Linked DNA regions of Mytilus edulis. The protein of the gene in region 4 interacts with the protein of the main gene of each other region in a pairwise test. Links are inferred from orthologs where the notes say so. Each region holds a gene or a part of one and is shown on either strand. Other genes may lie near its edges. The genes, in order: myosin-VIIa-like, calreticulin-like, E3 ubiquitin-protein ligase Bre1-like and ubiquitin-conjugating enzyme E2-17 kDa.

The links.
Region 1: the proteins of ubiquitin-conjugating enzyme E2-17 kDa (region 4) and myosin-VIIa-like interact in a two-hybrid assay, tested with the Caenorhabditis elegans proteins (2 studies listed by BioGRID). The link is inferred for Mytilus edulis from reciprocal best matches to the Caenorhabditis elegans genes ubc-1 and hum-6.
Region 2: the proteins of ubiquitin-conjugating enzyme E2-17 kDa (region 4) and calreticulin-like interact in a two-hybrid assay, tested with the Caenorhabditis elegans proteins (2 studies listed by BioGRID). The link is inferred for Mytilus edulis from reciprocal best matches to the Caenorhabditis elegans genes ubc-1 and crt-1.
Region 3: the proteins of ubiquitin-conjugating enzyme E2-17 kDa (region 4) and E3 ubiquitin-protein ligase Bre1-like interact in binary tests that used the Caenorhabditis elegans proteins (3 or more experiments, as listed by UniProt). The link is inferred for Mytilus edulis from reciprocal best matches to the Caenorhabditis elegans genes ubc-1 and rfp-1.

The regions. Positions count from the first base shown.
Region 1 is NC_092346.1:78,765,796-78,773,719, reverse strand, and holds the start of myosin-VIIa-like, read right to left. Parts: upstream 3,234-7,924; 5' UTR 3,073-3,233; coding exon 3,025-3,072; intron 1,359-3,024; coding exon 1,098-1,358; intron 377-1,097; coding exon 192-376; intron 1-191. UniProt on the Caenorhabditis elegans protein: Myosins are actin-based motor molecules with ATPase activity. Unconventional myosins serve in intracellular movements. Their highly divergent tails are presumed to bind to membranous compartments, which would be moved relative to actin filaments.
Region 2 is NC_092344.1:93,359,719-93,367,856, forward strand, and holds the start of calreticulin-like, read left to right. Parts: upstream 1-5,042; 5' UTR 5,043-5,184; coding exon 5,185-5,269; intron 5,270-6,466; coding exon 6,467-6,571; intron 6,572-6,808; coding exon 6,809-7,015; intron 7,016-7,578; coding exon 7,579-7,673; intron 7,674-8,104; coding exon 8,105-8,138. UniProt on the Caenorhabditis elegans protein: Molecular calcium-binding chaperone promoting folding, oligomeric assembly and quality control in the endoplasmic reticulum (ER) via the calreticulin/calnexin cycle.
Region 3 is NC_092349.1:58,371,906-58,379,572, reverse strand, and holds the start of E3 ubiquitin-protein ligase Bre1-like, read left to right. Parts: upstream 1-4,473; 5' UTR 4,474-4,564; intron 4,565-7,667. Other genes in the region: ankyrin repeat domain-containing protein 27-like, read right to left, coding at 1,802-1,878, 2,340-2,376, 2,871-2,976, 4,312-4,362. UniProt on the Caenorhabditis elegans protein: E3 ubiquitin-protein ligase that mediates monoubiquitination of 'Lys-117' of histone H2B. H2B 'Lys-117' ubiquitination gives a specific tag for epigenetic transcriptional activation and is also prerequisite for histone H3 'Lys-4' and 'Lys-79' methylation.
Region 4 is NC_092351.1:724,285-732,203, forward strand, and holds the start of ubiquitin-conjugating enzyme E2-17 kDa, read right to left. Parts: upstream 3,108-7,919; 5' UTR 2,974-3,107; coding exon 2,930-2,973; intron 2,815-2,929; coding exon 2,734-2,814; intron 1,568-2,733; coding exon 1,452-1,567; intron 1-1,451. UniProt on the Caenorhabditis elegans protein: Catalyzes the covalent attachment of ubiquitin to other proteins.

The DNA.
Region 1 (7,924 bases), on a different chromosome or scaffold from region 4:
CATGATACATATTCAAATTCATTTCTGAATAGTAAAATGAAAGTACTTCAGTTAACTGTTAATGTAGAATTTTTTGCAGTGTTAGAAAGTGGTGAAAATTCTAAAAAGGCTATCATTATCCCTTATGGGCCAGGAAATACTACCGTGCCACCTTAAGTATTAAGTATCTGCTATGGGGAGATAACTCTCACCTGATTATAATACATTGGTCATGTCTGTATCTTTTCATGTTATAGTATGAATTATCTGCTATAGCAAATACATGAGGAGGTAACTCTCCTATTTTTCTGTCGCTGTACAGTTTAATCTGTTCACTGGTGTAGATAGGAAGAACTTGGTATGGGTTAACAGCTACAAGGATGGAACCTGTGAATGTCTGTAAAGTGAAAGGGTAAAAAGATACTACACATCATTTGATCAATAACCAGTATCACTTACAAAAAACAATTTAACATCAAGCAATTCAATATAACATAACAAACATGAAATTAATAAAATAATCTAGTTTGAAAAGTATTTGTAGTTTAGCATGCAGATATTTTGGTATTTTTTCTGCTTTTATTTATGTAGAATTCATAGATTTACCACATCTTTCATTTTTTAGATTTGGAACAGAATTTTTGAAGTCTGATTCTCAGTGCAACATAATTTAGTAGGAAGATAACTTTCTTTTTACTGGCTAATGATCAGTTTCTGTCGACAGGCCTTTAACTTACTAACAAAAGTATTATGAAAATTGGTTTACAAGTGGTACCTTCTGCCAAAAAAAATACTTCATTTGTAAAAACTTAGATTGTAAGCAGCCAATAAAAGATGTAGTAAAATGCCTATTTTTTGTTGTTGTTTTATAATAGGTACAGTACTTGGAAATACACATTTTCTGACAGTATTGGTACTTAAGCCATAAGAAACACCAAGTCAAAGTATCCTACAGGTCCTGTTCTTGTACAAATTTGTAAGATTGAAGTTTTAATTAACGACAGTATCTAAACATACGTATAGCCATACGAAACACAAAGTCAAAGTATCCTACAGGTCCTGTTCTTGTACAAATTTGTAAGATTGAAGTTTTAATTAACGACAGTATCTAAACATACGTATATAAGATTTTCCATGTATCTTGTAAACAAATTCCTCAGGATTCCAGCCTCGTTTAGATCACCTAATCCAATCATGTCTTCGATTCCTTCAACTGATGTAGGGTGCATGTGTTTGATCTGTGTCTTCCCATCCAGCCATACTTCTTTGCCATCATCATCAATCACTTGGATCTTACCGGACTGTGTGAACTTGACCCTCCCTCCAATGGCCACATTAAATTCTCCCTTCGTCTCTGGCTCCAGCCACACATGGTCTCCCTAAAGGTAAATAATATCAAAATAAAATAAGAATTAATAGGTCACTTTAAGCCAAATGAGTTCTTTACACAAAACAAAAAAAGGTGGTTGTATTAACCTCAGTGACGACAATTAATGCTAGGTAAAATATAAATGGAGATGTGGTAGAAACCGAACAAAACAATCAAACCAGAATAGATATATATAGAGGTCAATATAGTCTACTAAAAATTGGAAGACAAGACTCTATACCATATGGCAAGATCTAAAATTACTACAGTACAAACAAGTTGTATGCATATAATACACCTTATCGCTATTTGTCCGCCATTGCTGAAAATCACACAGGTTCCGTAAAATTTTGACGTCATAAAACAGAATATCTGACGCCACAATGGAAAAGTGATTGTTGTTGACGTCAAAAGTTCAAGCGGCCGGGTCAGCCGGGGTTAGCGATAAGGTGTATTGTAACAGACCTGTAATGATATATACAATCAAGTTCAACAAGGAATTTTTAAAAAAAGCAAAAACAATAAGCTAGTACTACAGACATTTTTAGTCAATGAAGTCCCAATTTTCACTCTGGCAAGTCAAGAAACACAATATCAATGTTTTTTATTTTCATTTAGTTTATAAACATAGACAAGTCAACTTAATACTGATTTTTAAACTTATTTTTTCTCCTGTACCATAAAGTGGTCTTTCTGTCACAAATTTCACAGCAAAGCGCTAATATTTCAGGCCCATTGGAACATATTTTGATGAACAAAACCAACCCCCTTTTGATGGTACTAAACTATATATACACAATGACACTTTCATCATATACAATAGCAAATCATGAAACAATCTACCAGTAAAACAACATTATACTTAAAACAGCTGACAGACGTACCACCCTAACATGCAATGTTTTACCAATATTAAATTTTATTGGAAATTTCTTTTCTTTTGATTATACATAATAAGATGAGAAAGATAAGATTTACCCAATTCTAAAATGAAATTAGGTGCCATGTATATCTGTAATTTCAAACATACACATGGCCTTTTGAAAATTGAAAATCTTAATCCCTGTTTGTACTGGTTCAATACTATCACAGATATTACAAACTGGTCACTTACACTTGATTCATTAAACTGAATACTTTTATCTGTCAAAGTAATATGTAAACATTGGTTATACATTTAAATCTGATTGATTTTTATAGGTATTGCTTTACTTGCAAAATGCTTTGAATTCCTTAGTTGTTATGAGAAATTTTCTTATAACTTTAAATTTATATCTGCAATGTGAATGAATTGTTAGATAACTAACTCCTTTGCAGTATAATACTTTTATCCTTTTAAAATTTGGCACAATTTTTTTGCAACATCAGAAGTTATTTATTTTTAATGAAATCTGTGAATTGAGATAATTTGGGTTATTTTACTTGAATCTCCTTTCTGAAACAAATACTGCTCTTTTTTTGTCTTTTATTTTATTTCAATAGTAATTGCTCCAGATCTATCAACATTCATATTTTTTTTATGTTTATGTCTTCCAATATTGGCCTATTTAAGCTTCATTTTAAACACTATTTTTTTTCCAACTACATTAATTCCTATTTACTGTAATATATCTTAGTAATAAATCTTTTTCCAAAATGTCATCAATTGACTTCATCAAATTCTGATTGATACTTACATGTACCTGTAGTCGTGGATACACATTGTGTTCATCGTTTTTTTCCATATTTTATACAATTTTAAGTCCTATTTTGAAAGAACACTTAATAATAGAAAATTCATAATCCCATTTTATTTCTGAAGAGATACTAATATTTCTCCATGCATTTTATGATGTAAAATTCCATTAAAGTTTGACATTTTACGTTAATTCCCGTTGGAAGGTGTGGAACTTTGAAATATTTCAATCACTACAATGAATTTGTGCCAAGGTGTTCGGTGGGTTGTTTTCAGAATTATAAACTAGATTATCAGCACGACCTACTATTATCTTGTTTTTAGTGATAAAAACCTCCATATAAAGGAGAGTCGTATAAACAGCTTAATGGAATTGGTCAATTGATATAGATAATGATATCTGGATGAAGAACGAGATTATTACTCTCATCAGACACAAGATCGACTAAGCACTTGAGGCAAGTAAATTGTATTTTAGTTTTTATATTTTTGAAATCTGACAATTTATGTTTCTATTTTGTTTTTAGATATCCATGGGGAAACATTCATTGGTTAACAATTTTTTTTTGTGCAGCCTAATGTTTGTTTTAAAGGGTTGTAACCTGCAGTTATATTACTTTAGCTTGATTAATTTTCATCCAATGTCATATTCATTATTCAGTTAGATGTGTGAGTTTCTCACCTATTTGAGTCACATAAGTGATCAAGGATAGAAAAAAAGAGATAAAATATATTCAATTTACACAGAAAAAAACATTAAACTGATGTCTAGACGCAAAGTTTTCCAACATAAACCCACTAAATGCAGGCACATTTTCTAGCAGTGTTTAGGATCACTCATTTTCGAAGAGATATCATAATGGCTGAATGGTTTAAGTGATTGTCATATTGTCACCACTAAATGGGAAAACAGTCATATAGAAAAAATGCAGAACACAAAACAAGCAATCTTATCTTGTAAGTTAAAGGTTATACATCACCTTGGTCAATTAATAACCAACACAAAAAAAACCAACAAGAATGTGTCCCAAGTACACGGATGCCCCACTTCAACTATCATTTTCTGTGTTCAGTGGAACATAAAATTGGGGTAAAAACTCTAGTGGGGCATTACAATTAGAAAGATCATATCATAGGGAACATGTGTACTAAGTTTCAAGTTGATTGGACTTCAACTTCATCAAAAACTACCTTGACCAAAAACTTTAACCTGTAGCGTGACGAAGGAACGGACGGACGAACAGACCCACAGACCAGAAAACATAATGCCCCTCTACTATCGTAGGTGGGGCATAAAAAATAAACCACAGCTAGTCTATAAATCATGGCACAGAACACTATTCATTACATTGTATAAATCAATACACAAAACACTAAGCATAACAGTTCTCAAACATTGCACAGAACACTTAAACAATAGTCTCGAAATAATTGGGCAGAACACTCACCAAAATACTTAATATTCTATAGATCATTGCACAGAACACTTACACAATAGTCTCGAAATAATTGGGCAGAACACTCACCAAAATACTTAATATTCTATAGATCATTGCACAGAACACTTAGCACAATAGTCCACGTCATATCATTGCCTTGCACATAAAGCTAAGCACAAAAGTCCATTAATCACTGAACAGAACACAAAGCACAATAGCCTTAAAATAATTGCACAGAAAAAACACAAAAACCCTTAAATCATTGGGCAGAACACTCACCACAATATTCTATAGATCATTGCACAAAACACTAACTTAAGCACAAAAGTCCATAGATCATTGAACAGAACACTAAGCACAATAGCCTTTAAAAAATGTTAGCAGAATAATTAGCACAATAGCCTTTAAAAAATGTTAGCAGAATAATTAGCACAACAGTCCTCAAATCATTTAAAAGACCAATAAGCACACACATCATTAATCATTGAACAGATCACAAGGCACAATACCCTTTAAAACAGTTAACAGAACACTGAAAACAATAGCCCTTAAATCATTGACCAGAAAACTAGGCATAAGACCCTTTTAAACATTTAACAGAACACTGAAAAAATAGCCCCTAATTCATTAAACAAAACACTGGGCACAATAGCCTTTAAATCATTGAACAGAACACTAACACAATAGTCTTTAAATCATGGAACAGAACACTAGGCACAAAAACCCTTAAATCATTCAACAGAACACTGCAGACAATAGGCCTTAAATCAATCAACAGAACACTGCAGACAATAGGCTTTAAATCATTCAACAGAACAGTGAGCAAAATAGCTCTTATATCACTGAAAACAAGAATGTGTCCATAGTAAACCGGTGCCCCACTTACACTATCATTTTCAAAATTCAGTGGACCATGAAATCAGAACAAATACTCTAATTTAGCATTAAAATTAGAAAGATCATATCATAGGGAACATGTGTAATAAGTTTCAAGTTGATTTGACTTCACCTTCATCAAAAACTACCTTGACCAAAAACTTTAACCTGAAGAGAGACAGACGGACGTACAGAGGAACAAATGAAAAAACGAACAAACTAAAGGACAAACGCACACACAGACCAGAAAATACAACGCCCCTCTACTATTGTAGGTTGGGCATAAAAAAATACTAAGCAACATGCAGTTCACTAACTACCTGTTTGAAGTCAGGTGCTGGAAGAGTTACAGCAAGCCCTGTTACACAAGAAGCACACATTCAAAATTCAAATTGTGTTCAAATAAACATAACAATCCTGACGTCAGCCTTTTTCAAATAAATACAATACATGATTTACAGTAAGTCATGGCTATCTCAAATATAATGTCATGTGTGGCAGAGTTTTGTTTAATATCTACTTGGGCAGAATATTTCACACTGCATCCCCTCTGGGGTATAAGTCCCATTTGATCAGAACGGTAGGCATGTTAGGTGGTAATTATGCAAAAATCAAGTTTCATTCATTACTGTATATTTGTAATTCACCATCATTATATTGCCCAAATGAATAGTGAAAACCATTTAACACCATTGAACCAACAAGATTGTAGCAATGAAGAGAAATAACTCTTATTCTGAGTGTTGACTTTTCATGTTATTCTTTGATTGGATATGGCTAATGGATAATCCATAGAACAAATTTTAAAGTTGAAAAGCATGCTGTCATGTTTACCTTATACAAACAAAGAAAAGATAAACATTAACAATTATGACAGTCTTTAAAGCTGGATTGTCAGAATATGCTTCTGAGTTTTTGATTATCTCAATATTCACTTAAACTTTCTTATTAGACCATTCACTGGTAGTTAAGATATCCTGGTAAAGACATAAATGATGTGACTGCAGAAATCAACTAACTTCTTTGAACCTGCATTTGTTTACATCCTCCCACCCCAGACATGCCTAATAGGTTGATATAAAGATGTATTGGTAACTAATACACAGTACAAAAGCTACCAAGGCTGTTTTGATAGATTCAAAGTTGATTTAACAATTATTAAATTACTTCAAAGTATACTTATACTCACCGGTCAGGTGATGAAATTTCAGAAATTACATAATTATTGAGTTTAAAATAGGGGTTGGATGTAAAGAAACACTGACTGTTAAAATATTAGTTTTTTTTGTTCGAATTATTGTACATTTGTGATAACGGCGCTTCTTTTGGCAGACTGCAATATGGGTTTATCCATTGTTGAAAGCCATACGGTGACCTACAGCTGTTAATTTCTGTCAGTTGGTCTCTTGTGGAGAGTTATCTTTTTGACAGTCACTTACTTTCTTCTTTTTTATACATAAAATAATCAATATTTTTTTACAGTTGTTAAATATCACTGAACTTATGAGGAGTTTCTTTTAAGCATACAGCCCACGGCAAATATAACACAATAAGGGGGATAAGTATGTGGACAGAAGAGGAAGACATTGGAAAGGATTGCATTAGCTAAAACAGAGGTACTAGAGCATACACTCAAATAAGAAGAACAAAAATAATGCTGGGAGACCCCCAAAAATGTTGATTTGATAAAATTTAAATAAATGATTATTTTTCATAAATATGTTTTGCTCAGTATCTGAACACCCAGGGCCATCTTTATCTTAGTTGTTACACATTTGTATTAATTTCAACAGTAAAAATTAATAAATATTCAAAGAGGCATAACTTCTACAATTTCAAATAAAATAGTGCATACATTCGAGTTCTTTGATTTGTACGAACGAGACCTTAGAAATTGGACAACAGTCCTCTAATAATAATGCTACATGTTGATAGTCATAGTCATATCACTATTACATGCAGAGTCATTCTCCTGCCTTCCTGAAATCCTGTGATAAAATTAGGTTGCTAGGTTTCAAATACTACTGTCAGTAATGAGTCCCAATATAACAAACATTAGCCTATTTACATGACTTTTCATTAGGAAATGACATGGAAATATCAACACCTTTAGGTACACTAACATTATATAACAAAGCTAGCTATCAAAAACAAATTAAGTGCACTTTTCACTATACCAGACATTTTAAACATTATCCTTTAGATGAAGGTGTGTCTCTTCTTAGTAAAATAGTATCATTTTTAAAACATATTATGAGTTTTAGTTTGTGCAGTTTGCTTTATATTTGTAAATAGACTAAATTACTTTAGTAAGAGTTATTAATAAAAGTAAGTTCAGTTCCTTTCTGATGGAAACAGTTCTAAGTTTTTCTGATTGCCATATTCATGATATTTGCCAAATAGGATATAAAGTAGTTATCTACCAAGTTTTTTCTACTTTAAATCCTGTCTGTCTGGTGTATTTGAATAATTTAACTTTTTGGATAGATGTATTGAATTCATAACTGATTATTCTTAGAAGAAGAATGAAACTTAAAATGGATGAATGTTTTAAAACTATTAAGGAACACTTGTCAAAAACATATT
Region 2 (8,138 bases), on a different chromosome or scaffold from region 4:
TCTTCTTATTTATATATAAAGATCGAACTTATCACAAAATCATCTTTGGACTAAAATTCATCAGATATAGACAGCTGAAATTTCGTTGAGATAACGACATCGATGAAAATTCTAGTTTAATCCGTACGTTGTATTTGTTTCTGCGATTAAAAGGAGATAGAATTAATGATTGGTGAATGGTTTTGTAATGTCCAACGCGATATTTCATTCATGTAATTTTAGGCTGAGATCAAGTTTAAGACTTAAGTTGTAGGAGTAATCTGCAAAGGATCTTACGGAAAGAAAAACAAGAAATTTGGACTGCCATTGTTAAAGATGATATGATATATTTGGAAACTGGGGTAAATAACCAATGTGTCACCGGCAAAACTTTCGGACAAGTCATAGATGAAAAGAAATTTCGAGGGACAGAATGAAATAAACGCCCATTGTACTATAAAATTGATTTTGTTTTAGTTTTTGAAATGCAAAATAATGCAATATATAGCTTTAACTCAGACAATCTTACACAAAAAGTGCCGGCATCAAATAACCACGAGGACTCAATATCTGAAGGACTTATATAAAATATTGATCAAATATGCTTATAGATAAATCGAAACAATTAAAGGGTTGAGATATACGAGGGTCAGTACGGGGTTTACCGAATAGAGAATAAAGGACCAATCCAACAAATATATGGCCCAACTTGAAAATAGAGAATATAGAAAAGTAGGACTAAAAAAATAAAAAAGAGAATAATGGGGTACTAAATATAAAGAATAAAGATTAGTGGAAAAAATTATAAAGGATAGAGAAAAATGGCTTGAAAAATTAAAGATTAGAGAATTGAAGGATCCCTATCTAGACCATCATAGAGACATTTCTTAGATACCATCCATTAATAAGAACTAAGATATTCATATTATATATTTATATAATCTCGGACAACAACAACTTCTGGTTTAGATTGATACTCTCCAAATGTGATAAACGGAGTAGTTTCTAAACATATATGTTTTGTTCAACTTAATTCTGACTTGGATATAAACATGAACACAACAGTCCATGCAAAAATAAAACAATTCCTATACACGTCATTATATAATATCCTTCTAACAAACACTTGTCACGGTAACAAACAATTTAATCGTTGTACCCCCTCTGTAGTGACATTTTCACCTATTATGTCTGTTTGTTTTGTTCACACATCATTGTCAATATAATGAAAATTCATCCAACTGTGATACATTACAAATAGGATGCTAAGCTAGCTAATCCACAATTTTCTACATAAGTAAATACCTGTATCAAGTCAGGAATATGACAGTTGTTATCCTTTGTTTTATGTGTTTGAGCTTTTGATTTTGTCAGTTGATTCTCGTTTGATTAGAGACTTCCCGTTTTGAATCCCTCGGAGTTCTATTTAAGGCAAAGTTTGACAAAATAATCTGTTAGTTTTTTTTTTTTTAAATAATTAAGTTGGATTAATTTCTCCTATAGCTCTTTGTTGTTAATTTTTTTTTGTTGGTGCACCATGCTATAAAATACTACTTTTAACTGTATGGTATTGATACACTTAGTACTTGACACTACTACCTACGATGCTTGTACATATGTATCCGGCATGTCCGGATATCCCGGTCTTACCAAAATCTCTCCGAAATTTCTCATTTATTTAAAAACACGTGTACAGGTTGTCGGTATCACATTTGTCTTTCCTTTTTTTTGTGTTGTTTTTTTTTGTCGGAGTCTCTAGATTTGTTTGATTTGTGTGGTTTTTTTTGGGGCAGGGGGTTTACAACATATAACATAACATTGGCTAAAAAGTGTAGGGAAGTAGGGAATGGATGGTGCAGAGACTATTCGTAAAAGATCTACAAAATAACAACAAATTCTCCAAACGACTATATTAAAGATAAAGATATATCCAATGCATGCACCTACTAACGAGGTTCCTATCTGATAGATACATTGGAACATGATTCCGAAGATTCAAATAGTTTTACTAACACTCAAATTTGAGTCTTACCTTTTCTGCAATCGGAGGTTCGGGGGGTTAACCCCCCCTCTTTTTACGACGATAAATGCATTTGAATTGCGGGACAAAAGTTGGAACCCCCTTTTTATAATGGGTTGGGAACCCCTTTTGAAGATCGCTAGATCCGCCCCTGATTCATTACCGACTAACAATTAATGTAAATAATTCATGACGCGACATCCCTATACTATAGTCTATAGCACTTGTAATATATTTAGTATTCTCAAATCAAACTTAAATGAATAGCATATTCAAGTGCTGTTCTAAAGTCAGAAGTTATGGACTTTAAACACAGAAAAGCAAAGGGTGTCGTGTGATAAGGAAAAAATCCTTATCTATGAGTTTTCGCGCGAAAAACATAGATTTTAGTAAAATTTCTAGAAACAGTTGAGTACATTCCCACATGAAATATACGTTTTGGGTGAAAAGTTTGCAGCCATTTAATTGTATGCACATCGATTGTAGATAATTGTAAAATCATGGCCACGCGAATATTCATAATATTTGAAAGATCTGACAATTTAAACTTTTCTCTAAAAAATTCTTCAATCTATAATTGTTTGTACTATACGTCAATAGCTAAACATTGAAGAATGTGGCCTTTAACTTAATGCACCCCTCTTTTGCGTTTTTTTGGGGTCTTATTGAAATGAAATTGTGTAAATTGTTTCATGCCATGATTTTTTCAATGAGAATTCAGGGCCGTAACTACATGGAGGCAAATGAGGCAAATGCCTCATGTTGGAAATTTCAAAAAAAAAAAAATGAAACAAGATTGTCTTCATATCAACCTGAATTGTTTTCACGGAAAGTGTCTTGCAAGAAGCAAGTTCTCTTCACTCTCTGATATCGCCCCTGCATGTTTTTCGTGACCCATGTTTCTATTTTACTTTTAGTTTTCAGAGTTGATGGTCTATTGTTTGTACTTCTGTGTTCCGAGTGTGTCTTTTGTTCATTTATTGTCCTACTTTATAACTATAGTCTGCATAGTGTTGATTTTTCATTTGTAAGGTGTGGTTTTGCAATGTTGCAAGTCCACCGATGTCCAGACATTGTACGAGAAACTATTTTAAGAATATATACGATGCTACTGGACTTAGAAAAAAATTGTCGTTTCTGCATGGAGAATTGAACTTGATATCAAAGAATACAAAACTGGCTCTTTTTTTTGTAGATAAAACTAGATAGCTGACATGGTTTAAATTAAAGTAAGACCATCCATTGTTCTTGGTCTCAAATCATCTTTAAAAAAACGGCAATGTATTGCCATATGACCTTTTACATTGAAGGCTTAAACTTGCATGAAGTCGTGTTCAGACTCTTAAACAGAAAATAAAAGAATATGGAGTAAACGTGCACAGGACCTTATCTCACACAAAGTCAATACATAGAAAAAATACAAATGATCAACGGTCAAAGTTTTTTCCTATTCTTCATCTTGATAGTTGATGGAAGGTCTTCAAAAATAAAAGAATCAAATGTTAATACCGTAAAACAAGGTCAAGATGGTCCTTAGTGTCGACATAAGCAGTACTAGTACTTATAGTATAATACTGCATTGTCACTATATTTAAATCTAGTCAAAAAAAAATCACCAAAGTCTGAATTAAGCACAATACAAGACAAGAACAGACAGACATAATGATGATGTGAATTTCGGTTTTTGCTTTATCCTACATATCGGTCTACATTTAATGTTGTCCCCGTAAAATCTAAAAGTCTTAAATTACAATGAATCTATGTTTTTGCTTTGAGACAAGAATATTGTCGAAAGAAATAGCTAAAAATGAATTGCGTTTCAATGTAAGAAAGAGTCCGGGAAACGCTCAGAATGCACGATTTTGCGTTATTTTTCTCAGAGCTTCTGGGGGCCTTGAGAGGCCCCCATATACCTCGCCAAAAATTTTCGCCTCGCTACGCTCGGCGAATATATTTTGTCTCAATATTAAAAGAGACTAGTTACGGTCCTGGAGAAACTGGGGAAAACTTTTCAGATAATACATTTTTTTCTTGTGAAGAAAATAAGAATCAAATAAGATATGTGATGATCAAGGATTTGTAGTCCTTTGTAGTAAAACTACTGTACATGTAATATGATTGAAAATCCTTCGGTAAGATGTATAAATACAGAATCAAATCGTGCATGAAAAATGTATATTACATGTATGGTCAATGACCTAGAATATATAAACAAAGTACAAATCCTTGGTATACATGTCAACTGGCAGCATTTCTTTATTTTTGTATCCGTACCCCGAATAGCCTTTCTAGACCACTGAGCATGCATGATGAGGGGGGAACAGGGGGTACCCTTCTCCCTTCTCCCACCCCTCTTCTCCTTTCTCCTACCCCCGTTCTCCTTTTCTCCCATTAGAATAAAACATCTTTTGAGATATTTTTTCTTGAAATATTAGAAAAAATTTTAAAAGGAGAGATATTTTATTTTTTCTCCTTTCTCCAACTTTTTCTCCTTTCTCCCAGCCTTCCTCTCCTTTCTCCTATCTCCTTTCTCCTACCCTCTTTCTCCCTGTCTCCCTTACCCCTGTCCTCCCCCTCCATGATTGCATAAACATTTCAGTACTAAATAATTCATAAGTGTATTTCATATATGAAAACAAGCATGTATCAGGCACTAACAAAAACCCAAATAAAAAACAGATTTTTTTTTTCAAAAATGTTGTTGTTGTAGTTGTATGTGTATTGCATATTGTGTATTTAGGCCTATATTTTTTTTTTATTTATCTATTTTTTCAATTCTTACATAACATCTTCTCATGTTACATCTTACGTTCATGAAAAAACTTCTAACAAGCTTTTAATGATAAATGTTTCTCACGTTTCTTGATATAAGCTTAAACTAAGTTGGTCTGATCTTAGCTAATTTCGTGTTTTCGTGTCAGCCTATCCCCCCTTTTTGTGCTGTCAAAATCGGATTGGATATAATAAATATCCGTGGCACGGAAACAGCCGAATGTAACAGGAATAGATTGACGTAGATAGCCGGGCGCGTGGTACAAATCGATTGGTCCACCGAGGTAAATATATATCCAATGACAATCTTCCATCTGGCCTGTCACGTGTGTCCCGGCATCTTCTCACTGGAAATACAAACATCAGAGAAGTGAACATCATACTTGAACATCATATTGGAACATCGTCGAATAATGAGAACTTTCCTGTTGCTTGTCGCCGTTTTCGGCGTAGCACTGTCAGACCCAACTGTTTATTTTCAAGAGGGTTTCTCCAGTGGTGAGTTTGCAACCTTTTTTTATAACTTTTGAGAGACGGTGTGCACATGTAAGAAGAACACACAAAATTATCCTGAACTGTCAAAATTGTGAATCACTTTCGTCGATTACTTCTACAACACTTTGCATTCTTGAGAAATATCATTCTAATGATATTAGGATCCTGATATTAATTGCCAGTGTTTGATTAAATAATTTAGTACAAGGTGCTTGCCTGTTGCAGTGTTGGGAAATTAAACAGACTGGCCAGTCATGTCAGTGGCTTGTGAACAATTTGTGCTTTACTACATGTAAATAATGAATACTAGGCTGACAGAGTTAGCCTTTTATATTTCTTTTGAAATCACTAGATTTCTTAAAGGATTGTCACGAGTCATGATAGTTTATTCTTTTTGTGATATATTTATTTATTCATTTATTTTTGTATCATATGGCTAGTCCGAGATTACTCTGAGGTCCAACGGCTGTTTTGCCAGACAAGCTGGGGCCGTGGGACGTCAGAGCTCGTCCCATATAAAAAAGTGGATATTTGCCCACCCAAAATAGATATGCTGCTTCGTCGCTTCTGGTGCAGACTGACGGCATTGGAATTATATAAATCGGGCATGAATTTGATCATTTTTCATTTATCTCTTTATTTATGTAAGCTTCACCTACCTGCCACCCTTTATTTTTCCATATTTAAAGTTTTCACAGTGACCTATCGATTCAGACATTTTTACTTTCATATCATATGCCATGAACCCTGTTCAGGGCTTCAGGGTATATCTGTACATTGATATCAATGTTTTTAATGATTTCGAGATAGAAATGTGGCTTATGCTATATGAAATGGGTAGGGACACTTTTCTGATATAATATATGTTGTTTGATCAAATGATCTTTAAATTAAATGACGACTCCGGAAAGGTTTATATTTTCCCTATTAAAACCACCAGATCTGTGAAGGAAAACAGTTAAAATGAGAGGGTTGGTGTCAGATCCGAATTTTTCATAAAAGGGGGGGGGGGGAGGCTTTAGTTGTGCTTCAGTGATTCCCTGCATAATCAGCAAAATTTTTCCCACTAATGGGGGGAGGGGCTGCCCCACCCTTCCCCCTTATTCCGACTGATGGTTGCCATCTCAAATATAGTTTGTCCTTGCCAAAGTTGCATGTGGTTGCCTTGTAACATATATTTATGTTATCTATCTTTTTTAGCTGGTTGGACCGACAGATGGGTCGAATCTACTGCTAAGGGAGCAGATCAAGGCAAATTTGAATGGACTGCTGGAAAATTCTACGGAGATGAAGATCTTGACAAAGGTAGACATAATAACATTTAGTATGTCGTGTATGAATTTTGCATACATGTATAAAAACTATGGTTAAATGGAAATGGATTCATAAATGTCTTCATTAAAATTTAAAAATCCAAAAACTAATAATAGATCACTCACTGACTTAATTATATATCAGTGTCTATGCTAGAAATTTTCACCCCTTAATCTAAGGAAAAATAGAAAATATTTTTAAAATCTATATTAAATCTTAATTTTACAGGTATTCAAACATCCCAGGATGCAAAGTTTTATGGAATTTCCAGCAAACTAGAGAAGCCCATCAGCAATGAGGGAAAAACTTTAGTTATCCAGTTCACTGTCAAACATGAACAGAACATTGATTGTGGTGGAGGATACATGAAACTTTATCCAAGTGATGTTGACCAGAAAAATCTCCATGGAGATTCTCCATATCTCATCATGTTTGGTAAGTTATAAAAAACAAGGTTTTAATCAGTAGTTTTCTTGTATACCTTACAACTGATTTTTCCCAAAATGATATTGTTGATTATGGTTTTCTTATTAAGCTGAGTTTCTGATATTTCTAAACGAGGACTTCTATTTAAAGTGTTAAATGCTTTCATCAGTCTTCACGCCGAGTGGCAGCCCAGGCTGGTAAAATTGCTCTGGGGCCTGTAAAAATCAGACCTACAGGCCAACAGAATCGAACTAAAAATTTTCAAAAATTGAGCTGTAGACTTAGCAGTTCAGCGTGAAGACTGTATCATCAAAATAAAGGCAATAACTTTTTGTTTTAAATTTGTCAATTGCTACAAGTGCATTTAAAATTCATATTGGTATTATATGAAAACAAAATATTTTCAAATTTATAAACCAACTTTTGAATTTGATCCTCTTAATATAATCAAATTGATGTACAAGTTAGGATCCCTCCTTGGGTTTGCAATGTTCAGTTCAGGTAGTACTAAATGTATTGCAATTTGGTATTGGTCCAAATTGAGATTATTTATTTGAATTTATTGTTTTCAGGCCCTGACATATGCGGACCAGGAACCAAAAAAGTACATGTGATTTTCACCTACAAAGGAAAGAATCTTTTAACCAAAAAGGAAATCAGATGCAAGGTACAGTAGTTTTCTTTTGATGATTAGAGAAAGCTTATACCATAAAGTTTGCAGAAAGTGCAGTCTTGAATTTGAGAAAAGCAACCTCAATAGATTTATTGGAATGAAGCAGTGTTAAAAGCAAATCAAGTTACATATGAAAAAGAAAGAGCAAACCATGACAATTAAAACAGATGGACAGGCAAAATTTTGTTGATGGTCATTTTGTGTTTTCAACAATAATTCAGTCAATTTGACTGTTAAATGTACATTTATAAGTGTCAAATTAACCAGAAAAGATCTCATAAACTTAAGGAGATGTAGTATGCTTGCTAATGAGGAAACTTAAAAAAGTTTATTCTAAAAAAAAAACATTGAGAAGATAGTCTTAACAAACATAAATCTTGCTTAATTTAAGTAATGATTATGATCGTCTCTTTAATTTATTTCAGGACGATGTGTTCACCCATTTATACACATTGATAG
Region 3 (7,667 bases), on a different chromosome or scaffold from region 4:
TATCCGATTACCCGATATATTCAATTAGACGATGAATGTATATTCAATGAATATTCTACAATAATAAGTAGATCTATTGCTTAATATGTGAAAGGGCTGGAGGATTGATGGAGTGATTTTTATCAGTTACATCACCACGATGTTTGCGAGAAAAATTGTTGATCAGCTGATTATGTAGCTAATGAATAAATTTGTTTCCACTTGCAGTTTTTAAATCCTATATTTATTAAAATCAATCAAATGTCCTGAAATATTTATGTAAATTATTATCTTCCATCCATAGTTTGTCTTTACTTGTTTAGTAAACAAATTATTTACATTTTCACACAGGTAAACTAATTTGGCTATAAATAGATACAGATAGATCACAGCATGTCTGAGTAGAATCTCTTATCTAAAATCGTAATTGTTATAATTTTATTTCTTTAAATAATCAAATTTAAATTTATGAAAATAATCATGATTGATAAAATAGTATTGCATAAAGTTTACGCTTTCAGAGACTTTTTATGTTTAGGTCATGGTTCTACAGGCTTCTTCACATATTTGTAAACAAACCAATATGGCCGCCACACGTGATTACCTTTGCACATGTGAAAAAAATATTTCTGACAAAAGTCAGATTTCTCTTGTCAAAAGGGATTTATATTTATATTGCAATACATTATTCAGAAGGAGGTACATTCAGTTTCAATTATATTTCTTATTCTATGAGCATTTAGAGTTTAATCAAATTCTCCCAACAGTAACGTGCTGCTCTTGTCAACTGAGTCTTGAATAATTTTATAAATACTTAATAGATTCAAACCATTTGAAGTAGAAAGGCATCTAGTTCACATGACAAGGAAAACAATGAATAAAGACACCAATTTAATAAGAAATAGATCCTTTTTATTTATTAAAAACAAAATCTTCTTGTCTGCAAGATTGCAAATTCGTAACTTCAAGGTCGAACTTGTAAACAGGGCGAGTTGTCCCAATACCAAATTCACGCATGCGTACTACAAATATCTACAGTAAATTAAAAACATCCGGTTACAAGTAAACAAATAACGTTCATGGATTTCATGTGGATGAGATGAAATCTATTAATTTACATAAATAAAAAGGTCATATTTACGATAGTGATTGTTTTTCAATCCTAATTTACAAATCAAATGATTCAGATGCTTAATCATGTGTAAAAATCGGTGTCAGGAATCTTAAGTTGTTATGAAATTGTAATACACAGAAACGAATGCGGCATATGGAGGCTCAATGAGTTTAAAGTCGGTCCCATAGGTCTTCAGAAGACTTGACGTCTTCTTCCACCAAAAACCCTGACCTTGTCACAGGACAAATAAAATAACAGTAAGAAAAAAAATTGGAATCATAATTTCCTGTCCATATGCACATCTACATAGTATGTCCTTATAATACATGTAGGTTTCATAAAATTCTGTTGTGAGGTTTCAGAGGAGTTTTGATGACAAATTTGATGACAAACTGTTGCAAAAGTATATTGAGGCCAATAAGTTCAAAGGGGCATAACTCCTAGAAAAATAACCTGAATCATAATTTCCTGTCGATATGCACATCTACATAGTATGTCCTTTGTTGCATGGGGTATAGAATGATTGATCTTGAATGAACAATTGAAATTTTTGCATGTATATTTAAGACCATAAAAGGTTAAAATAGACTTTACTTTGTCCATGTTGTCAAACCAATACACTAAACTGATTTTTTTAAACAAGCTTGCTCACAATGTATGAATGACATAAAAATAATAGCCTTATATTTATGACTCAAAATATGTTACCTTCACCAGTTACAAATTCTTTTCTTTTTTCATCCAGATGAACTGAGATTTTGTCACTGGACAACAAAAAATATTCTCTAAAATAAAGAAAATGCAGTATTAATTTATTTTCCAGAAAGGAAAAAATTCAAAATGAAAAGACTCTTATATAAAATTAGTAAATTTGAAATTAATTTTTTACAATCAAAAGATATTATCTAGAGGAAAATTCGTAAAATTTTTCACCATTTTCGTAGAGCCTGTGATATTAAACAGCAAAAGCAGGAGAGACACTGGGTTCCGCAGAACCCTTACAAATTTTATAGTATTATCTGTATGAACCTCTCCCTGAGACGATGTACAGATACATGAAAAAGCAACCAAATTTGCTGTGTTCTGTATAATGCCTTGCTATAAGTGTCTTTAATAAATAATACAAAATCAATATATTATTTTCATCAGAATTTTGAAATATGTAGCAGAAAAATTGAATGATTGTTACAATGAATTTTGAGCATTGATAGAAATAATAATAATATATGTATGCATAAACACTCACCCTTTGAAGTATGGGGATGGCTTTAAAATATGACTTGCTGAAAGTAAACAGAAAACAAAATTATTTAATCTGTGACTAATTATTCCACTTCTTCATGTTCTTGGTGTTTGATGTGTGGTTTAAAGGTTATCCTTTGGTTATCCTTTTTTTATATAGATTACATGTATATTGTTGGTTTTTCACACTGGTCATTTTGGAGCCATGTATAGCTTGCTGTTCAGTGTGCGCCAAGGCTCTGTATTGAAGGCCATTATCACTTTTACCCATACATGTAATTGTTTACTTTTTACACATTGTGACTTGGATGGAGAGTTGTCTATATAGTGATAGCGATACATAAAATTTGCACTCACAGGATTTTAAGAGTGCTTAACCAAATATGCGTAATGGCAGGCATGTAAATTTAGGGTAGGCAGGGAGACTGGAAACACAACTATATTGTTTTTGACTTTATTCCTAATCAAGTTTTAATCCGACATCATTGACACTCACACCACATCTTCCTATATCTATATACTTAAATAAATTGACCTATAAATTTGACAGTAAATGTCGACTCCATGAGGGATGTTGTTTGTGGAACACACAATATGTAACCATTATCTTGGACTTCTTTGTACAGGTTTTTATGTGTAGTCTGAAAATAAAAAATAATAAAACAGTTTGATGAAATATATGTCTTAACATTTTAAGCACTTTATCAGACACCAAAAAAAATTATAAACAATTATTTCTTCTTAGTTTAATCTTTAGCATGTTTAGCAATATATACATATACATGCCAGTGCCAAATTCATGTCAGGAGCCTGTAATTCAGTGGTTGACGTTTTTTTTTATGTGTTACGTATTTTTTTTTATATAAATAAGGCCGTTAGTTTTCTTGTTTAAATTGTTTTACATTGTCATTTCAGGGTCTTTTATAGCTGACTATGCGGTATGGACTTTGCTCATTGTTGAAGGCCGTTCAGTGATCTATAGTTGTTAATTTCTGTGTCATTTTGGTCTCTTGTGGACAGTGGTCTCATTGGCAACCATACCACATCTTCTTTTTTATATGTGATTGTGAATAATGAGACTGGGTGAGAACCACACTAAGAAGAACTTAAATTTCAAAAAACTTTAACCGCAGAGTGAATATTTGTGGAAGCTGACGCAATGTAGGATTGCTATTTCTCACTTTTTCAACTAAAGTCGAAGGCTCAACAAAAATTAAATGTACTCATGAACTCAAAATCATTCTCTCTTTTTTAATTAGTACTGTTGACAGCTGTTGAAATGTTCTACAATTTACAGCTCACATTTGTATATCTGATGATTACCAAAATAAATCAATGGCAACAATAAAATTTTAATACAGACTTCCTCTTCCTTAACCATGTTCACCTGCATCATATATGTAATCATTATACATGTATAAGTTTGCAACAACTGTAATGAAATGACAAAAATTATGACGTAATAACATATATATAAAAAAAGAGGGATGAAAGATACCAGAGGGAGAGTCAAACTACTATAATGAAAGGTCTTAAGGACAAAAATTATGAGGTAAAAACATATACAATTAATGTGACATTGGAAAAGTACGGGAAAATATTATGCACAGATGTCATCTCTAAACTCATGTCATTTCATAGAACTACGGAAATAAATATATGACAATTAATTTTTCTCAAACAATGATGATTACCCTGCTGTTACCCAGCCTCAACATGTGAAAATAAGAGGATGTGGTATGATCAGATGATTGCCAAAGGCAAAGAAAGAACTATATTTTTGTTATATTCATATGAATAATTTCTAACAATTTAACTTAAATTTTATCAAAAATTGGGCGCGAACATGTAGGGTGCGAACGGACGTGGGGGGCGAAAATGTGAGGTGCGAACGTGTAGGGTGCGAAACTATATTGGGCGCGAACGGACCTGATACCCACAGTGCTCAGTTCCTTACAGTTGAATTTGAATTATACCTGTAATGACCTAAAGAAAGGATTAACATCTAATTCATCAATTTCAGCCATAGTTCTGAATATTTTGAGAAATGAATATGGTAACTGCAATCAATGGTGGATGTGATAACCTGGTAATTTTATCAATCATGAGATTTGACAGTTGACCGGAAGTGTACGCCATTCGAAACACCTTGAAGTTTCTCATGCGTTTAGATGTAAAGTCTAGAAGTTATCGAAATTCATCCGGGACTTTTCAAGATGGAAGCCTAAGGTTGCAGTTTTAAAGAAATTATTTAAAATATATAACGAACAGATTTTTTTCAATGTTAAATACACCTTTTTAAGTGTTTGATGTTTGCTAGCATTTATTCTATATGTATCTTAGTTTTTAAGATATTGCTCCATGTCTTTTTCTTTCTTCTTTTCTTCTTCTTTACTACTTTAGTCTTTAGTTTTGTCAAATGCTTGTCTTCTTCCATTATGTACTGTTCCTCAGTGTGAATTCGCATTACTGTTTAAATAAACCTCACCTATTAACACTAAATGTTCACACAGAGGTTTGTTACTATTTGCCGAGTTTACTATCTATGGATCCCAATGGACAATGATGGATAGTCTTAGTTAACTTGGCAAATATGAGACCCACTATAAAAGAACTTTAGCTGGATATGTAGACAGTAACTGTTTGGTGTTTTTAAATATCAGCTGTATGTGTATGACCAGTCAGAGATATAACTCTATAGGGTTATTACAGAAAATAACTTGCGTGTGTTATTACAGATACTTTTCCTTAAATTTTCTAAATCTGTAATAACATATGTTTGTTATTTGTAAAATTATTTAATCTATAGTGGACTCTAGGAAACTCTTGAGACTTTGCGCAGAAACTAAATGCATAGCCTTGATAATTAATTTTTAAATTGAATTAATACATTTTTGATTTACCATGGTAAATCAATGAGACAAGGCTATTAAGGAATTAACTTAGCTGTGATAACAAGGCTTAGTTATTGAAGGAATGTAGCTTATTATATAAGACACTTGGGAATTACTGAGAAACTTGCGCAGAACCTCATTACATGCTCTGGTCATTATTTCTTAAAATAAATTAAAATACGTTGTAATTAAGCATGATTTATGTCTGAGCAAATGCTTTGAAGTGATATAGAGAAGCTGTGATAACACCCTTTAGTTATTACAGGCATTTTTTTTCTGTGATAACATATAGGTGTACTATCCAAAATTAGAATACTATGAACTATTACATCTTTCAATAGTTAAGTATACACAAAGACAATAGCAATATTAATAGAACTTGTATACATTTTAACTAAACTTATGATGTATATTGTCCCTTTGAAACATGTAACATACATATGTTATCACAGTTCTTTGATTTTTTAGTCCACAATAACAAATGTATGTTATTTTCCTGTAACAACCCTATAGAGTTATATACTAAGTGAAATAGTGAAATAACAATTCGCTTTTTGCAGCCATAAATGTTCAATTTTGTCAAATTACGCTAAGAAACATTGATAATTAGTCAATCACTTGCAAGTGAATGAGTCGACCGCTTTAAATCCGTATTCATGTGAACTTCAATTTAACCCCTAGCTAGACAATGCTACAGATTGACAACGCATGCATTGTACGTGTACTGGTTATTTAAAGAAAAAAAATGTCAACACAGTGTTCTCCCCAGGCCGATATGACGCTGCGGTGCCGCAGCGCCTTCATAATATTTTCGTTAATCCCGCAGCGTCTTAATTGGCCGCTGTCCCTTGCTACTTGATCCCGCAGCGTGTTAATTTTCACATTTTCATTATAAATGTTGGTTAAAAATTGTCAAGTTGCTGATCACCGCTGAGAGTTCGGTCAGTGTTACGCAATATCTGATAATTATATAGTTTTACCTGAGACACGCTTATCTCAGCCTTATCGGACTATGTTATCATGTAATAGCGTAAATGATCATCAAGAAGATAGATATTTTCAGCAGAAAATTAAAAAAAATTAAAAACTTCAGTGCAGAAATTGAAGAAATAGATCGCAAATACATTGTATTTAAGCATCGTGTGTGTGATTACTTGACCATTTATATAACGAATTTTTTCATTGGTCGAGAAGAAGAATCTATTTAAAGACGACCAATGAACGTGTTCAATACACGTGATAGATTTGAATACACATTGCTAAAGATATTTACGATGAAAATTATGAATGAGAGAATTTGTAGTTGAAAAGATTAAAATAAACTTTGATTAAAGATAACGAGAAGTGATTTATTTTAATTGAAAGTGAAAAATGTTGCTTGCAAGGTAAATTCGTTTCAAACTGTCATATTTTTAGAAATAAAATGATCATTGAACATCGATCGTGAGTCCATGCGTCGGGAACATTTTATGTGACAATCAACACGGGTACGGAATCGCTGATAATGTCACTAGTAAATAATTCCAATGGTCTTAACTTTAACGAAGTCTGGTTTATATTTACCTGCCAAAGATAGGGTTTAACAATACATATAATGCACAATGAAGCGTAATTAAATGTCAAACTACGGAAACTTGTCAGCTGTTCATTAAAATATTTTTGTTTTAAAAAGTTGTATACCAACTAGATCTTAACCATATTCGATTTTATTAATTCTGAATGAACATGTTCTCTGCAAATAACAAAGGGTGAATTCTAAGCAAAAGACATGATGGAAGTAGAAGGTTGTTTTTTTTCAGATCAATGACTTCTAATGAAAAGGGGAATACACCTCCCTCTACACTCAGCTGTCAGTATAAGCAGATGTTATAATTGCTTCTCCTAATCCCAACTGAGCTAAAGTTTTAGCAAGTGATAACAGCAAGCATCATGTTTCTAGTTTCAGTGACAAGTGGCTGACTGAGTTTTCATGGCTTAGAAATGTTAAGGGGGGTATAAGCAAAAGTTATTATGAGAGGGGGTTTTCAACCCTGAAGAGGATTAAGACAACGTTGAGGAACAGACTGTCCAACAAAATAACACTATCTTGAAACAATATCCCTAGAAGTAACAGAGAGTACAGAGATGAATATTTATATTTTGACTTCTTTAATTGACTGAATATAAATAACTTTTGTTTTTAAAATCAATTTATTTCATATATAGTATATTCTTGTATAAATTCATTAATACTCTGCGTTATTAAACACACAACACAAAGCAATATTGCATGTTATGATTTATGACTGATTGATTCAGATCACAAAAGTTCACTATAAAAAAGGAGTTAAGCGCCCTTTGAATTTTCCGCCTTAAAAAAATCCTGGGGAGAACACTGCAACAATGAAAGTAAAACTACCGTAAATCATTTGATTACTAATTCGATGTACATAAAATCA
Region 4 (7,919 bases):
TGGTATGATACTAAACCCCTAACGGGAAAGATTGTGCCTGATGTTCATATGATGAAATCATAATCTTTCAGTCAGTTTAATTGAAGTCAGGAGCTGGCATGTCAGTTAACTGCTAGTAGTCTGTTGTTATTTATGTATAATTGTCATATTGTTTATTTTCTTTGGTTACATCTTCTGACAACAGACTCGGATTTCTCTTGAACTGAATTTTAATGTGCGTATTGTTATGCGTTTACTTTACTGCATTGGTTATAGGTATAGGGGGAGGGTTGAGATCTCACAAACATGTTTAACCCCGCCGCATTTTTGCGCCTGTCCCAAGTCAGGAGCCTCTGGCCTTTGTTAGTCTTGTATTATTTTAATTTTAGTTTCTTGTGTACAATTTGGAAATTAGTATGGCGTTCATTATCACTGGACTAGTATATATTTGTTTAGGGGCCAGCTGAAGGACGCCTCCGGGTGCGGGAATTTCTCGCTACATTGAAGACCTGTTGGTGACCCTCTGCTGTTGTTTTTTATTTGGTCGGGTTGTTGTCTCTTTGACACATTCCCCATTTCCATTCTCAATTTTATAATTTGGCTTTAAAATTAGAAAGATCATATCATAAGGAACATGCATATTAAGTTTCAAGTTGATTGGACTTCAGCTTCATCAAAAACTACCTTGACCAAAAACTTTAACCTGAAGCGGGACAGACGGGCGGAGGCACAGACCAGAAAACATAATGCCCCTCTACTATCGTAGGTGGGGCATAAAAATAATTAAAAACATTCCTGTAGCATAAAGTGTTGTGGATTGATGGTTATTATGGGACTTTGTATAAAACACAAAGAAAGATGTGTTTGTTAACTCGTCATTATATACAGCTCATAAATTAATCAGTCAAATTTATTCGTTAAGTGTATGTTCACTTGTGTTAATATGTCTTTTGATTGAGTCAAGCCATTTCAACTGATATTTTATAGTGTATGCGTCTTTCTTTGTTGTGATGTTACACTATTGTTTCTGGAAAGGGTGAAGTTGTACCTACATGTAAACAATGTTTCAAAACATTTAAAACACAGCTGTATTTGTTTGCACCTGTCCAAAGTTAGGAATCTGATATTCAGTAGTTGTTGTTTGTTGATGTGGTTCATAAATTTTTCTCGTTTCTCTTTTTTTTTTTGAGATTTGATTCTTGGTTTTCTCGTTTAAATGGTTTTCTACTAGTCATTTATGGAGCCCTTTATAGTTTGCTGTTCGGTGTGAGCCAAGGATCCGTGTTGAAGACCATACTTTGACCTATAATTGTTTACTTTTACAAATTGTGACTTGGATTGAGAGTTGTCTCGTTGGCACTCATACCACATCTTCTTAAACATGTATCTATGAGTTTGTATGAGTATCAGGACCTAATAATATGTCAAGCTCTACATCATTCTAAGGATGTTTGTACTAAATACACACTTACCATTAGGGTGAAACATTTTAGATACAAATCGTACTGTTGGAGGTTTATTTGGATATTCTTCAGTGAATTCTACTGTTAATTTAAATGTACCATCTTCAAAAGGTGTGTCATGTGGCCTAAAACAGAATATATAACAAATGAAGTCCATGAAGCAAGCAATAAAATAAGACAGTGTAAACAAAATAAGCTCATATTTCAATATGCCTGTTAAGAAATCATTTTATAATTATATGGATGCAGTACTGTCAAGTCTCATCTTTTAACATGAGACTCCACATATTCATGCTTAATTGGTGACATTTTCTTTTGATTCATTGTTCTTCTCTGATGTTTTCTGGGAATCAAAACAGGGTCAGGATCGATATAATATCATAACAGAGATATCACAAAGGTGAATGACAGTCCATGAGTCCTGGACTAGTCATGATAATGAAAATCTGTATTTGAAAAATGTCAAAATAAATCTGGTGCCCTGTTGATTATTTCTTTGATCAGTCATTTAACCTTATAGTAATCAGGATACTAAAGAAAATAAATGTAGAATGGTATTGAGAGAAAAATAGCTCTAGAGAGGGAGTTATGATTTTTGTTTGAGAGAATTGTTCTTCAGAGTTTAAAGACGATGCCCCCATATTGTTGAGTCTGCAGTTTAGATGTTGTAAACTTGTATAACTGTTACTTTTGGTTTATTTCAATTATACAATATTTAACTTTTAATACACCTTATCGCTACTGGTCCGCCATTACTGGATATCACACAGGTTCCTGTAAAAAATTGACGTCATAAAACAAAATATCTGACGCCACAATATAAAAGTGATTGTTGTATGCATCAAAAGTTCAAGCAGTCGGGTCGTCCGGGATTAGCGATATGGTGTATTGACTTTGTGGTTCAGTTCAGACAACACCAGGATCCCATTTATTTATTTATGTGACCAGGATCCCCTAAATCACGCTACCAGAAGATATCTAGGGTAACCCTCTTAAAGTATTTCAGAGGCATTTCATGTACGTAGATCTGTGGTCTGTGGCTTATATGGCAATATGGCTACAAGATGCATCATTTTGTAGAAAATGATGCACATGTTTGTAATTGGCTCTTTATATAAATTCTTTCCATGAAAAGGCACCTGTAACTTGTTCAAATGTTCCTAAATAGAGTTTAATGTTGTTGTGCTGGAATTAGTAAACTCTGATTATTCAATGACAATGAATAGGCTAATAGTAATAGGGATTGACCTGATTATTATGACAAATTATCTTGTTTCTCGACAAAACTTACCCAAATATTACCGCATTCCACAACATTATGTTATTGTCTGTTGGGGCACCACTTACACCAGCAGGTGGATCTTCTTGTAATCTGAAAATGAACAGTAAGAACTTTGAAAAAAAATATATAAACAAAAACGGAAGCCATGTTTGATAACTGTTTTGAAGTACATAATTCGTTTTAAATGAGAATAGGGCTACACTACCTTTTAAAATCTCTCATCAATCGTCTCCTAGCAGGTGTGGACATTGTTATACGTTATATTTTACAATAATTGTGCGTTTATCGCAGTATTTGATTGATATTTCCCTAATTAATGCGGAGAGATATTTCTTGTTTATGACGTTCTCATACGGGTTCTTTTCGTTTTTCGGTATTCAGTGAAGATGGATAAATCTGATGAAATCTAACGAATGTTCCGAATGAAATAAGATCATGTGATATTTCAATCACATTTCAATAGGTAAATGCCATTCGTCACAACTCGGCCGATTCCGTACCTTCAGAAGGAGAGATTCACCGAGCATTGCCGAATGCGGTAATGCTTATATTTTTTCAAAGAGTTCTGTGTCCCTTGGAAATATAACACTATTGAAAATTTCATAAGTGCACAATTCTTGCCAGATATCATATTATATTTATATCAGCAATGCCTCTATACCAATTTTGAAAATCGGTGCCTATTAACAAATTGTTAAAGAATTGTAATCATTGGAAATATATTTAAAAATAAAAATTTAAACTGCAAATTTAAAAAAAATGTGATATCTGTGATCATTGGAAATATATTTAAAAATAAAAAATTTAAACTGCAAATTTAAAAAAAAAATGTGATCATTGGAAATTTATTTAAGAATAATTTTAAACTGCAAATTTAAAAAAAAAATAGTGCTTCATATATCATGTACATATGTTTTTCTATTTCGCAAGATACATGTATATGCTATTGCTTAGAGTTAATTTTTAGTGCTGCTTTTAATTATTTATTTTGCATGCTGCATGCCTTGTTTTATTTGTTATCAAGTTGCATATGTTTTTATATTCGGTGAAAAGGTCATTATCTAGAGCTTATGTTTGTACTGTTTGTCAATATGCCGAATCCAAATAAAGTTTTACCTACTTACTTTCTTACTTATATCTAAAAAAAATAATATAAAAACGGTTTTTAAAGAAAAAAATATGTTTGTCAGTTTAAGGATTTGCATAGTAAGTCTTACTATACAAATCCTTGGTCAGTTATTGTCCTGGGACTGATAAAATATGTACAACGTGGGCGCGGACAATGGAACTCTGTTCTTTTATATCTTTTACTAATGCAGTTTTTTTACATGTTTAAAATATTAATAAAATCTGACACTACTAGTGTATTATAGTAGTCTCAGATAAAAGGTTTAAATAAATCGATATGATGATATGAGGGTGGTAAAGGGGGTGCCTTCATGACGAATAACGGTAAAAATTCTTGCCAAATGACGTTTTCTTTAGTAGGCTTACGGTATTAAAAAAAAATCTTGCCAAAAGACGTTTACGGTAACTTTTGGTGCATGACGATAAAATATGCCGGCACTTTCTTTTAGACGATATATAAAATCGAATGATTTTTCAAAAATAACGGTAACGATAATTATTTGAGAACTCTGACGAATCACGATAAAGATATTTTGACGAATAATCATTTTGACGCTAACGGTAGCCGAAAATGCCCGTTTGATGCCTGACGGTAAAGGGCATTACTACCCTCTGATATATCTGTTATTCAGTGACACGAGTACAAACGGCCAATGAATATCACTTAAATATTTCCATAATATTTTTGAAATTGTGGCGTGTTACATATATATTATATTGCCTTTTCGGAAGAAACGGGCGTTCACCACGTTTTCTCGGATTGCATGTATTATTTGTCTCACGGACTGGTGTTGCTCAATTAATGTTTTTCTGTGTAATATTTTGTTTATTTGCATAATTTGTCATGTTTAATGTGTTTGTATCTTGGAATACGCATTGTATCATATGTGTTTTGTCCAATAAAATATTTGAATTTGAATTTTGTTTATATGAGTAAAATTATGCCGATTTTTTTATTGTCCTCTTGGTATTTTCTCACTATATCTCTTTAAGACAGGTAATTGCTAAAGGTTACATGTTTTACATGTCACAGTTATGCTAATTCTCAAGTTACTAAGCACGACCCTTGAACATGTTTAGAACATTTTAATACACACGGACATTTTTTTTCCTTCTATATGAATTGTAGATTTAAAAGCTGATATTAATCATTTGATTTATCATTGTCCAATGGTGAGTTGTTAAAACTGGAATCGTTAAGTTAACACCTAGTGCCAATTTAACAGTATTTAAAAAAAAAATATTATTTGACACAAAGGCGGATAAATTGGTAAAAGAATGGACTAGCAGTTACATACAAATAACTATCAAATGAATAGGCTAGTTAATATAATAATTTGGATTAAAATAGATAAATTATACAATTATAATAATCTGTGACAGATCAATTGTCGCCGGGTCCATACTTTACAGTCCTATTTGACCAGTCTAAAAAAAAAACAGTACCTAAATCAGATAAAGATGGCACAAAATAACTGGATTCTTGACATTGAGGAATAATCTTAAAGCCGGACCATTGAAGAAATTGTATATTCTAGTAATATATAGTACTTAGGCATTGTTAGCTCATATCCCATCTTAATTCTTATATCTATAGACAAGAGAACTCTAGTAATCTATGGTACTTAGGCATTGTTAGCTCATATCCCATCTTAATTCTTATATCTATAGACAAGAGAACAATAGTAATCTATGGTACTTAGGCATTGTTAGCTCATATCCCATCTTAATTCTTATATCTATAGACAGGAGAACTCTAGTAATCTATGGTACTTAGGCATTGTTAGCTCATATCCCATCTTAATTCTTATATCTATAGACAAGAGAACTCTAGTAATCTATGGTACTTAGACATTGTTAGCTCATATCCCATCTTAATACTTATATCTATAGACAAGAGAACTCTAGTAATCTATGGTACTTAGGCATTGTTAGCTCATATCCCATCTTAATTCTTATATCTATAGACAAGAGAACAATAGTAATCTATGGTACTTAGGCATTGTTAGCTCATATCCCATCTTAATTCTTATATCTATAGACAAGAGAACAATAGTAATCTATGGTACTTAGGCATTGTTAGCTCATATCCCATCTTAATTCTTATATCTATAGACAAGAGAACTCTAGTAATCTATGGTACTTAGGCATTGTTAGCTCATATCCCATCTTAATTCTTATATCTATAGACAAGAGAACTCTAGTAATCTATGGTACTTAGGCATTGTTAGCTCATATCCCATCTTAATTCTTATATCTATAGACAAGAGAACTCTAGTAATCTATGGTACTTAGGCATTGTTAGCTCATATCCCATCTTAATTCTTATATCTATAGACAAGAGAACTCTAGTAATCTATGGTACTTAGGCATTGTTAGCTCATATCCCATCTTAATTCTTATATCTATAGACAAGAGAACAATAGTAATCTATGGTACTTAGGCATTGTTAGCTCATATCCCATCTTAATTCTTATATCTATAGACAAGAGAACTCTAGTAATCTATGGTACTTAGGCATTGTTAGCTCATATCCCATCTTAATTCTTATATCTATAGACAAGAGAACTCTAGTAATCTATGGTACTTAGGCATTGTTAGCTCATATCCCATCTTAATTCTTATATCTATAGACAAGAGAACTCTAGTAATCTATGGTACTTAGGCATTGTTAGCTCATATCCCATCTTAATTCTTATATCTATAGACAAGAGAACTCTAGTAATCTATGGTACTTAGGCATTGTTAGCTCATATCCCATCTTAATTCTTATATCTATAGACAAGAGAACTCTAGTAATCTATGGTACTTAGGCATTGTTAGCTCATATCCCATCTTAATTCTTATATCTATAGACAAGAGAACTCTAGTAATCTATGGTACTTAGGCATTGTTAGCTCATATCCCATCTTAATTCTTATATCTATAGACAAGAGAACTCTAGTAATCTATGGTACTTAGGCATTGTTAGCTCATATCCCATCTTAATTCTTATATCTATAGACAAGAGAACAATAGTAATCTATGGTACTTAGGCATTGTTAGCTCATATCCCATCTTAATTCTTATATCTATAGACAAGAGAACAATAGTAATCTATGGTACTTAGGCATTGTTAGCTCATATCCCATCTTAATTCTTATATCTATAGACAAGAGAACAATAGTAATCTATGGTACTTAGGCATTGTTAGCTCATATCCCATCTTAATTCTTATATCTATAGACAAGAGAACTCTAGTGATCTATAGTACTTAGGCATTGTTAGCTCATATCCCATCTTAATTCTTATATCTATAGACAAGAGAACTCTAGTAATCTATAGTACTTAGGCATTGTAGCTCATATCCCATCTTAATTCTTATATCTATAGACAAGAGAACTCTAGTAATCTATGGTACTTAGGCATTGTTAGCTCATATCCCATCTTAATTCTTATATCTATAGACAAGAGAACAATAGTAATCTATAGTACTTAGGCATTGTTAGCTCATATCCCATCTTAATTCTTATATCTATAGACAAGAGAACTCTAGTAATCTATAGTACTTAGGCATTGTTAGCTCATATCCCATCTTAATTCTTATATCTATAGACAAGAGAACTCTAGTAATCTATGGTACTTAGGCATTGTTAGCTCATATCCCATCTTAATTCTTATATCTATAGACAAGAGAACTCTAGTAATCTATGGTACTTAGGCATTGTTAGCTCATATCCCATCTTAATTCTTATATCTATAGACAAGAGAACTCTAGTAATCTATGGTACTTAGGCATTGTTAGCTCATATCCCATCTTAATTCTTATATCTATAGACAAGAGAACTCTAGTAATCTATGGTACTTAGGCATTGTTAGCTCATATCCCATCTTAATTCTTATATCTATAGACAAGAGAACAATAGTAATCTATAGTACTTAGGCATTGTTAGCTCATATCCCATCTTAATTCTTATATCTATAGACAAGAGAACTCTAGTAATCTATGGTACTTAGGCATTGTTAGCTCATATCCCATCTTAATTCTTATATCTATAGACAAGAGAACAATAGTAATCTATGGTACT